2 linked regions of the Ovis aries genome follow. The main gene of each other region encodes a partner of the protein of the gene in region 2 in a complex. Links are inferred from orthologs where the notes say so. Each region holds a gene or a part of one and is shown on either strand. Other genes may lie near its edges.

Region 1 (4,502 bases), on a different chromosome or scaffold from region 2:
GCCACACCTAAGACCCGGCGCAGGCAACTTTTTTCTTTTTTTTTAAGAACATTCAACAAACTAGGAGTAGGAGGAAATTTCCTCAACCTGGTGAAGAACATCAGTGAAAAACCCTGAGCTAACATCACGATCAGTGGTGAGTGACCGAAAGCTTCCTCTCCAGGGAGGAACAAGGGAAGGACATTTTTATTCACCATTGAGCCAGAGTTTTGTTCACCATTGAGCCAGAGTTTCCAGGAAGAAGAAGTAAGAGTTTGCAGGAAGAAGAAATAAGAGCTATGTGGATTGGAAAAGAAAAAGCAAAACTGTTCAGAGATTAGGTGGTCAGGAAAAACCCCAGGGATCCACTAAAGAATGTTTAGAAATAGTAAACAAGCTCAGCAAGGCAGCAGGACAGCAGATGGGCACACAAAACTCCGTCGTATTTCTCTCCGCCAGCAACAATCCGAAAACGAGACAGGAGCTAGCTCAGCTTTCCCTTCTTCAGGGGTCCTCCCCGACCTAAGAGGGGGCACCCGGGCACAGAAGGAGCACCAGGCTGTCCCACGGGAGGAGCAAAATGCTGCTGCCCTGGGTGGTGGGGACTGCAGGTGGCCTGGAAGCCGCAGCAAGTGGACACGGAGCCCCCAGCCCACTCCAGTCTGTAAGGAGACCTGGAATCTTTGTTGGGGCGGGGGCGCTGGAGGCAGAGCTGAGGACTGACGGGGCCCACCCCTCCTTCTGGCTCCGCACCTGGAGGGGAAAAAGCTGGGGCGGCCCCGCAGTCCCACCCTGGTGAGCTCGGCGGCCAGGCGGGCACAGGCCTGGGAAGGGCTTGGTCTCACCTGGCCGAGGACCCTCTGCTCCTGGTGTCCACCGGTTGGCCGGGCAGCAGGCCTGCCTGTGCTCCACTGTCACCTCCCCTGGGAGCGTCCCTGCCTCAGCGACAGACACCCCCGTTCCGCCGCTCCCCTCCAGAGGGTGGACCGTGGCAGGGCCGGCTTGTCCTGAGGCCCCTGCATCCTCTGGGCCCCCGGCCCTGCCCCGCCACGCTGGGACCTGCCCAGGAGCCCAGCGCCAGGTAGCTCTCTGGTCTCTGCTCCGTGCTAACCCCCACCTTCTCTGAAAGCTGAGACTGGTCTGTGGGACCGAGGCCCGAGGCTGCAGCACCGGAGCAGAGCAGGCAGGTAAAAACCGCTCCTCCTCGCAAAGATGGCCCCACTGGGCTCCAGGAAGTGCAGGCTCTGTGGCTCCCCCTCCCCCTGGCTTGTGAGTCCCCAGGGCATGTGGCCATCCCCGGCAGAGGCCCACACACCCAGCCACTGTCATGGACTGCACGCCCAGGCAAGATGCATGCGTGAGCCGCGCGGCGTGGGCGAGAAGGTTCTGTGCGTGCTCTTCGGCCTGTGTGCACACACGTGTGCTGTGTGAACCAGTGCACGAGAGCAGGGCTCGCTCGGCTCCCCTAACACCTGCAGACCTGCGGCCCTGGCTGTGGCGAGGGAGCCAGCGCCTCGTGCGACCGCAGCGCTAGGGGTTCCTGTCAGTGGTCACCGGCTGCCCAGCTGCAAGCGCCGCAGAGAGGGGAGGCCTGGGCTCCCAGGGTCCCAGGGGGGAAGAGACCGGGTCCCCAGGGCGGTCATTCGCACACTCGCAACTACGCACACACTCACTCGCCACAGGCACACGTGCGTGCTTATACACGCATGCCTGAAGATGCACACTCACTCACACCTACCTGTACACACTCATACATGCCATGTCCACACATGCCCTCCAGTGCACACACAGACTCGCTCAGCTGCTCACACTCACACACAGGCACACGCTCACCCACACGTGTGCATGCTCACGTTCATTCTTACGTGTGTTCACCCTCACACACACCAGTTTGCACTCAAACATACAGACACGCACCGACTCCCACGTGGTGTGCTCACACACACAGCCTCCAGGGGCTGAGAGGACCCTCTGTGGGAGACCCTGTGCCCTGGGCAAGGCAGCCTGGGTGCAGATGAGAGCCACCAGCACCTCCCCACAGCCCTGCACCCGTCCAGCGCCGGGCCTGACCGCTCCTTAAACCGCACAGTGCTGCTCCACCCCCAGGTCACGGGCCCGCACAGGGCACCCCGGGCGCACACTGTGTGCCAGGCCCCATGCTCCTCGGGGATCGCCCACGTCACCACCCCACCCCAGCCCCCCCGACGTGTGAACCAGCGTCGTGCCCACTGGTGAAGACAGCGAGGGTCAGAGATGCTGAGTAACTCCCAAGCCACACGGCCCTGCCGCCCCCAGCCGGGCACACAGCAGGCGCTAGGTGGCGCCTGAGGGGCAGGGCCCAGCCCCTCTGGGTTCAGTCTCCCCTTTCAATTGCTCCTCCCCCTTCCTCTTCCCTGAATCTTTCTCCATAAAAGAATGGAAACCAAAAGAAAAAACCATCTTCCACGAAGGCCAGTGAGCAGCCGCGCCAGGGGAAGGGAGGAAGCACGACCCGCGGTGGGGTCCCTGAGACCCTGAGGCTCTTGAGCCCCCCGCCAGGCACTCCTGCACAGGGCATGGCGCTCCAGGAAGGGGGTGGGGGGGCCGGCAGGCGACCGGGCTCACACAGCTCTGCATTCCTCCAGTGCAGGCACACTCACACACACCATCACACTCACAGCATGTGCACCCAGGACCCAGTGTCCACACCCCCCGGGCAGGGCAGGATGTCCGCTGGAAGGCCCACGCTTACCCGGGGCCTTCTGCAGGCTGCCGGCCGAGCGGCGCAGGCCCTGGGCTCCCACCAGCTGTCCCGTCCACCCCTGGCCTTGCCTCTCCTCCTGGGGCTCGGGGCCAGGGTCCTGTGCATCCCGCTGCCGCCACCCCAAGGAGGGTGGGTCCGGGCTCGCACGCGGGCCCCCCAGAGCAGCTCTACAGGTGCTGGGCCGGCACAAGCTCCCAAGTCCCCTGGGCCGGGTCCGCCCCACTGACCTGGTGGCGCTGAGCCAGCACATGGCTCTCTTCCTGCCTGCTGACGGCCTCGGGGCAGGTGTCCTGGGGTCTAGGAAGGCCATGCGGCTCAGGGGCCATGGGGTGGGGCTTCGGCCAGCATCCCCAGGCAGGTGAGGCGCCTGCTCGCGCCTGCTGACAGCCGCCCGCTGCCTGTGTCTGGGCCCTATGGCCGCTGGGGCTCCTCCCCGCCCAGGACTTCCTGCTGCGGGGGCCCTGGGCAGCCCCGGGTAGCCAGCACTTCCTGTGAGGCCCAGTGCTGCCTGGCCTGCTGGCTTTCAGCCGTGCCCACTGTGGGCAGGCCCCAGGATGAGGCCAGCTGTGACCACCCCCCGCCTCAGGGAGGAAGCCCCTTGGCAGGGTCCCGTCCCCACCCCAAGGCCACCTCTGCAGATTGGGCTTCTTCCCAGCGAATCGGGAGCCCCAAATTCCAGGGCATCAAGCCCGGCTTCCCTGGCCCCAAAGACAGCCGCACACGAAGTCACGACCTTCCCGGGGCGCCCCATGGGCCAGAACACAGACTCTGCCATGCAGCTCCGCCTCCGGAGGCCACTGTGATACAGGGGCCCACGCCTCTCACACCAGGAGACTTTCACGTGTCAAAGTGGCTGCCTCTCTGTCCTCTGACCCCAAGGGACGAAGAACGGATGGGATACCAGCCTTCCCTCCATGCTCCCCAGGCCTCTCTGCCCCTCCCACGCCCACGCCAGGCACAGCCTCTGTGACACAGCTGGGCTCACACACCCCAACGGGGCACACTCGCAGCTCCCCAGCAAACACCTGGCTTGCTAGAAAGCACTTACACCCCGAGTGGCCAAGCGTGCTCCATCACTGCCTGGTCCCTGCCCGGGTCCCACTCACAATGCAGCCCACCCACGCACCCTAGGCCTGCTCTGCCCCTCTAAGCTGGGCTCCCTCCCCCACCCAGGAAGCTGGGAGCGAGGAGTCCAGCCCAAGCTGCTGGGCACTGAGCCCCATGCCCACTGCCTCCCCTCCCCTCCCCTAAGCTCCAGTCTCAAGGTCCATCCCCGCCCCCACTCCCAGCACCAGCTGGGGGATGGAGCACTTTGGGGCCATGCGGCTGCAGGGTCTGAGGGGACCGGCGAGTCCTCAGACACTGCAGAAGCTCGTCCTGTCCAGCCCAGCAGCTGTCCCAGGGCAAGCACCTACAGCCGGCCTGCCAGCACCTGGTCGCACACACATCTGGGTGTCCGGCTCGGGCCTCAGACACACACCCCCGCCCCGCCCCGCCGTCTCCTGGATGGGGGACTTGGGTTTGTGCGTCGTCACTCTCCTCAGGGGGCACCCTGGCCTCCCCTGCCAGCGTCGGCCTCCGTGCCCGCCAGGGTCCGTGGGCAGACTGCGCCTACGGCAGACAGCTGACCACAGCCCAGGGGCAAAGGGTGGCAGGGAGGTCAAGGGGGGCCTCCTCCCGTCCATCCTCACAGCCTGCCCAGAGTGGGGAGCAGGCCCCAGCCAGCCTCTGTCCTGTGCAGGCAGAGGTGGGAGCAGGCAGAGGACCACACCTGCAGGAG
Region 2 (3,971 bases):
GAACTTCTTGTTAAGCATGGAGCAGTGGTTAATGTAGCTGACTTATGGAAATTCACACCTTTACATGAAGCTGCAGCCAAAGGAAAATATGAAATTTGCAAACTTCTGCTTCAGGTATATTCAAGTATTTACGGACAGGGTATATAATGTAGAATATTATATTACTTGTAACTCCAAACTTTAATAGTAAAGGGATAGGAAGCAGAACTAATCCTGTACCTAGACTTCAGAATAAATGTCATAAACAGGGAGGTGGGAGGGGGGTTCATGTTTGGGAACGCATGTAAGAATTAAAGATTTTAAAATTTTAAAAATAAAAAACTAAAAAATAAATAAATAAATAAATAAATAAATGTTATAAACACTATAAGCCAGGTTTATTTAGCAATAATGAAACTGATAGTACGTTGGTATCTGCACTGGTACCAGTGTAGGTATTTTACAGTAAAAACACAACTGTAGTTAAATTTATACTTTATACAAACATTGAAATGTTTGTGAAAACTAAAAATAGCATATGTGAAAGGTAATCTTTAATGAAATAGTTTGTTTTGAACGTAGTTTAAAATTTTGGTTATATTCTTGCATTATTAAAGCTCAGTAGCATTTAAGTGTGTATTTTTTATTGTAATTTTTTGTGTATTAAGCATTGTTAACAGTCCTGTTAACCCTTAAGGCAGAGTCTCTGTATAAAATAGATTGACTGTTTTCTCGTTATCCAAAGGCAAACTTAAGCCAAACCTTCCCTTTCTGGTTTTCACATGCCCAGCATGGTGCAGACCCCACAAAGAAAAACAGAGATGGAAATACTCCTTTGGATCTGGTTAAAGAAGGAGATACAGATATTCAAGATCTACTTAGGGGAGATGCAGCTTTATTGGATGCTGCCAAGAAGGGTTGTTTAGCCAGAGTAAAGAAATTGTCTTCACCAGATAATGTAAATTGCCGTGATACACAAGGCCGACATTCGACACCCTTACATTTAGCAGGTAGGTGAATGAAGTGTCACAGATTTAGGCTGGTACATCTAAAATTCATTTTACCTGAGTAAAATATTTCCTGTAAGTAAATTTGAAAGATTTGACTCAGGCGTCTTCTAATACCATTATACGCTAGCGTGTTTGTACAGGCCCGTGTTCTCTTGAGTATAGCAATTTGCATTTAGTAAGAATAATTGAAAGAGGCTTTGCCAGTCTCCATGTGCTTCAGAGAAGGCAATGGCACCCCACTCCAGTACTCTTGCCTGGAAAATCCCTGGTAGGCTGCAGTCCATGGGGTCGCGAAGAGTCGGGCATGACTGAGCGACTTCCCTTTCACTTTTCACTTTCATGCATTGGAGAGGAAATGGCAACCCGCTCCAGTGTTCTTGCCAGGGACAGGGGATCTATGGGATCACACGGAGTCGGACACGACTGAAGTGACTTAGCAGCAGCAGCAACAGAGCATGTGCTTTACAACCTTTATTCCAAGTCATCATGTTGTTTGAATCATCTTTGGTGAATGTGTTTTCACTGTAGAAGCTTTAAAAATATGCCTGCTTGAGTCAGCCTTCCTGATGGGAAGTTAAAATTTTCCATTCTTCTAATGATAGTTGTTAAATGGAAGCAGAAAAAAGGCTTTAGACTTCCAAAAGTTACATAAAATTCTTGTTATTTTTTGTTTTAGTTTGTAAGGCCTGCCTTAACAGATTGCCACAGACTAGGTGGCTTAAACAACAGAAATGTATTTTCTCAGCTTTGGAAATGTTGGCAGGATAGGTTTTTTCTGAGGCCTCAGTCCGTGGCTTGCAGATGGCCACCTCTGTCTGAGTCCTCACATGGCCTTTTCTGTGTATATGTGCATCCCTGGTGTCTTCTCTGTCCTGACTTCCTCCTCTTATGCTGAATTAGGGCTGACCCTCACGGCCCTGTTTTAACTGAATTATCTCTTAAAAGGCTTTGTCTTCAAGTACAGTCACATTCTAAGGTACTAATGATTAGGGCTTCACCACGGGAAATTTGGGGGATATAGTTGAGTACCTAACTTTTGTTTTGAGTTTCACCCATGAAACTGGCACAGTCTGTCTTTGTCTTCCCTGCGTGTAGTGCAGCACTGTGATTTCAGCACAGCTTTCTGAGCTGCACTGGAGGTGCTAGCAGGACTTCCCTGGCAGTCTAGAGGTTAAGACTCTGTGCTTCCACTCCAGGGGCATGGGTTCAGTCCCAGATCAGAGAACTAAGATCCCACATGCCTCGTGGCCAAAAAATAGTACTAATTTTTAAATAAAAATTCATAAACCTTTAAAAAAAGAAGAAAAAGTTGCTAGGGAATGGGTCATTAAAAGCACTGAGCTTCCAGTCTTTTAGTGGAGTTGCATCATAGGCATGTTTGACCCATAGAGATTCATATAAATATACATGGTTTAAAGAGAGAAAAAAGGAATGTAGGTGTTTCTGCCACTTTGTGTAATGTGGGAAGTACTCTTCTCTCACTTCCTTTCAGTCTCACATCGTGAGCAACTATGTTCCTAGGGAATTTTTTTATTTTTTGGCCATGCCTGGTGTGGCATGCAGGATCTTAGTTTCCCAACCAGGTATCAAACCCAGGCCCCCTACAATGGAAGCACAGAGTCTCAGCCATTTTCACCAGCTAAATCCCATAAGAGATCATTTTAGTGTTTATGGTTTAGACCTTTAAATTATGACCCCTTGTGAGTTGGGACCCCACAGGCCAAGGGTAAGAATTGCTCCATCTCTGTGTCTTGTAGAGCATTTTGGAAGTGATAAACCACAAATGCTAACAAAGTGAGGTAAGACTTTTCTTCCTCTGGCAATCAGGAGTCAGTAGTCCATGTAAGAGAAAATGTGGCCTGATCTCAGATTTGGATTGCGCTGTGCATAGTTATTTACATAGGCTTTGAATCTTTATGGTAGCTTATCTAGAACACTGAGTATTACTTTGTAAGTCGGTGTTATCTTTGTGAGTGACAAATACATTGTACACACAGAATGTTTCTCACTTATGTAGCAGTATGCTTTGAGACATGGAAGGACTTTGGATTTGGTGTATTTAGCTTATGGTAGCTTTGTTTTTCTTGATCTTACTGAAATTTTTTTTTTTGCTTTAGATATCTCAGCAAAGGCTGAAAACTTCAGTAAAAGTGAATGAATTATATACTTTGAGCTTTTTAAAGTATCAAGTGATAGCTGATTTTATGTTGGCAAAGTTAAATTCCAGATTTGCTTTCAAACTATGATTATGTGTCAGATACAATATATCAATACATACTTTTTTTTTTTTTTTTTTTTTTTTACCAAGAACACGTACTAAGATAGCTGTCGGTTCCCCAGATGACAGCTGGGGGATTATAGTACATTTATAAAATACTCAGCCTTACTACTTCATGGCTTTAGCAGCAGTGGATTCTGCTGCCCACAGAGATGTGTTCCCTTACATTCTCTCTGGCAAAAAGCATGTCTTTGTGATCTTCTGAGGAAGTGGGACCCCAAGACCCACTGATGTGTTGTCTTCTGCTCTGCCAGCCACTTCTGTTCCTAACTTCATTTTTGTATGATTGGATGCCTTTTGCTTGCAGCCTTGAGACCATTTACCTGAGTTCAGGAAGTTGTATATACAATAACCATGAAGGCAGGGACTTTGGTAAGAAGGTTTTAAAAGAAACGATTTAAGTAAATCAACCACTATAACTTTAGAATCTCAAAAAGAAATGAATTTCATCTCTGAAAACTTCCAACTTGAGGCCAGTGGGCAATTTTTTTTCATAAGCTGAATCTTTAATAGATTCCATTGGAGAATTTCAGACTTCTATAAAATCTCTTATTTTAAAAATCCTATCTTTTAGAAATAGATATATACATATATGTAGCTATTTTTATATTAACAAGTAAAAGTAATTTTACTTCTTTTCTAAACTAGCTGGTTATAATAATTTAGAAGTTGCGGAGTATCTCCTACAACATGGAGCTGACGTG

Evidence for each region. The genes of interacting proteins can lie anywhere in the genome.
Region 1: the proteins of TNKS2 (region 2) and SH3BP2 are in contact, whole or in part, in a crystal structure (PDB 3TWR), measured with the Homo sapiens proteins. The link is inferred for Ovis aries from reciprocal best matches to the Homo sapiens genes TNKS2 and SH3BP2. Residues at the interface, in NP_079511.1 of Homo sapiens: Arg525, Ser527, His531, Phe532, Gly535, Tyr536, Asn537, Arg538, Leu560, Asn565, Ser568, Tyr569, His571, Asp589, Trp591, Phe593, Glu598, Lys604; in NP_001116153.1 of Homo sapiens: Leu413, Gln414, Arg415, Ser416, Pro417, Pro418, Asp419, Gly420, Gln421, Ser422, Arg424.

What each region holds. Positions count from the first base shown.
Region 1 is NC_056059.1:116,647,372-116,651,873, forward strand, and holds the start of SH3BP2 (SH3 domain-binding protein 2), read right to left. Parts: upstream 3,177-4,502; 5' UTR 3,049-3,176; coding exon 2,950-3,048; intron 1-2,949. UniProt on the Homo sapiens protein: Binds differentially to the SH3 domains of certain proteins of signal transduction pathways. Binds to phosphatidylinositols; linking the hemopoietic tyrosine kinase fes to the cytoplasmic membrane in a phosphorylation dependent mechanism.
Region 2 is NC_056075.1:13,182,504-13,186,474, forward strand, and holds part of TNKS2 (poly [ADP-ribose] polymerase tankyrase-2), read left to right. Parts: coding exon 1-114; intron 115-769; coding exon 770-989; intron 990-3,915; coding exon 3,916-3,971. UniProt on the Homo sapiens protein: Poly-ADP-ribosyltransferase involved in various processes such as Wnt signaling pathway, telomere length and vesicle trafficking.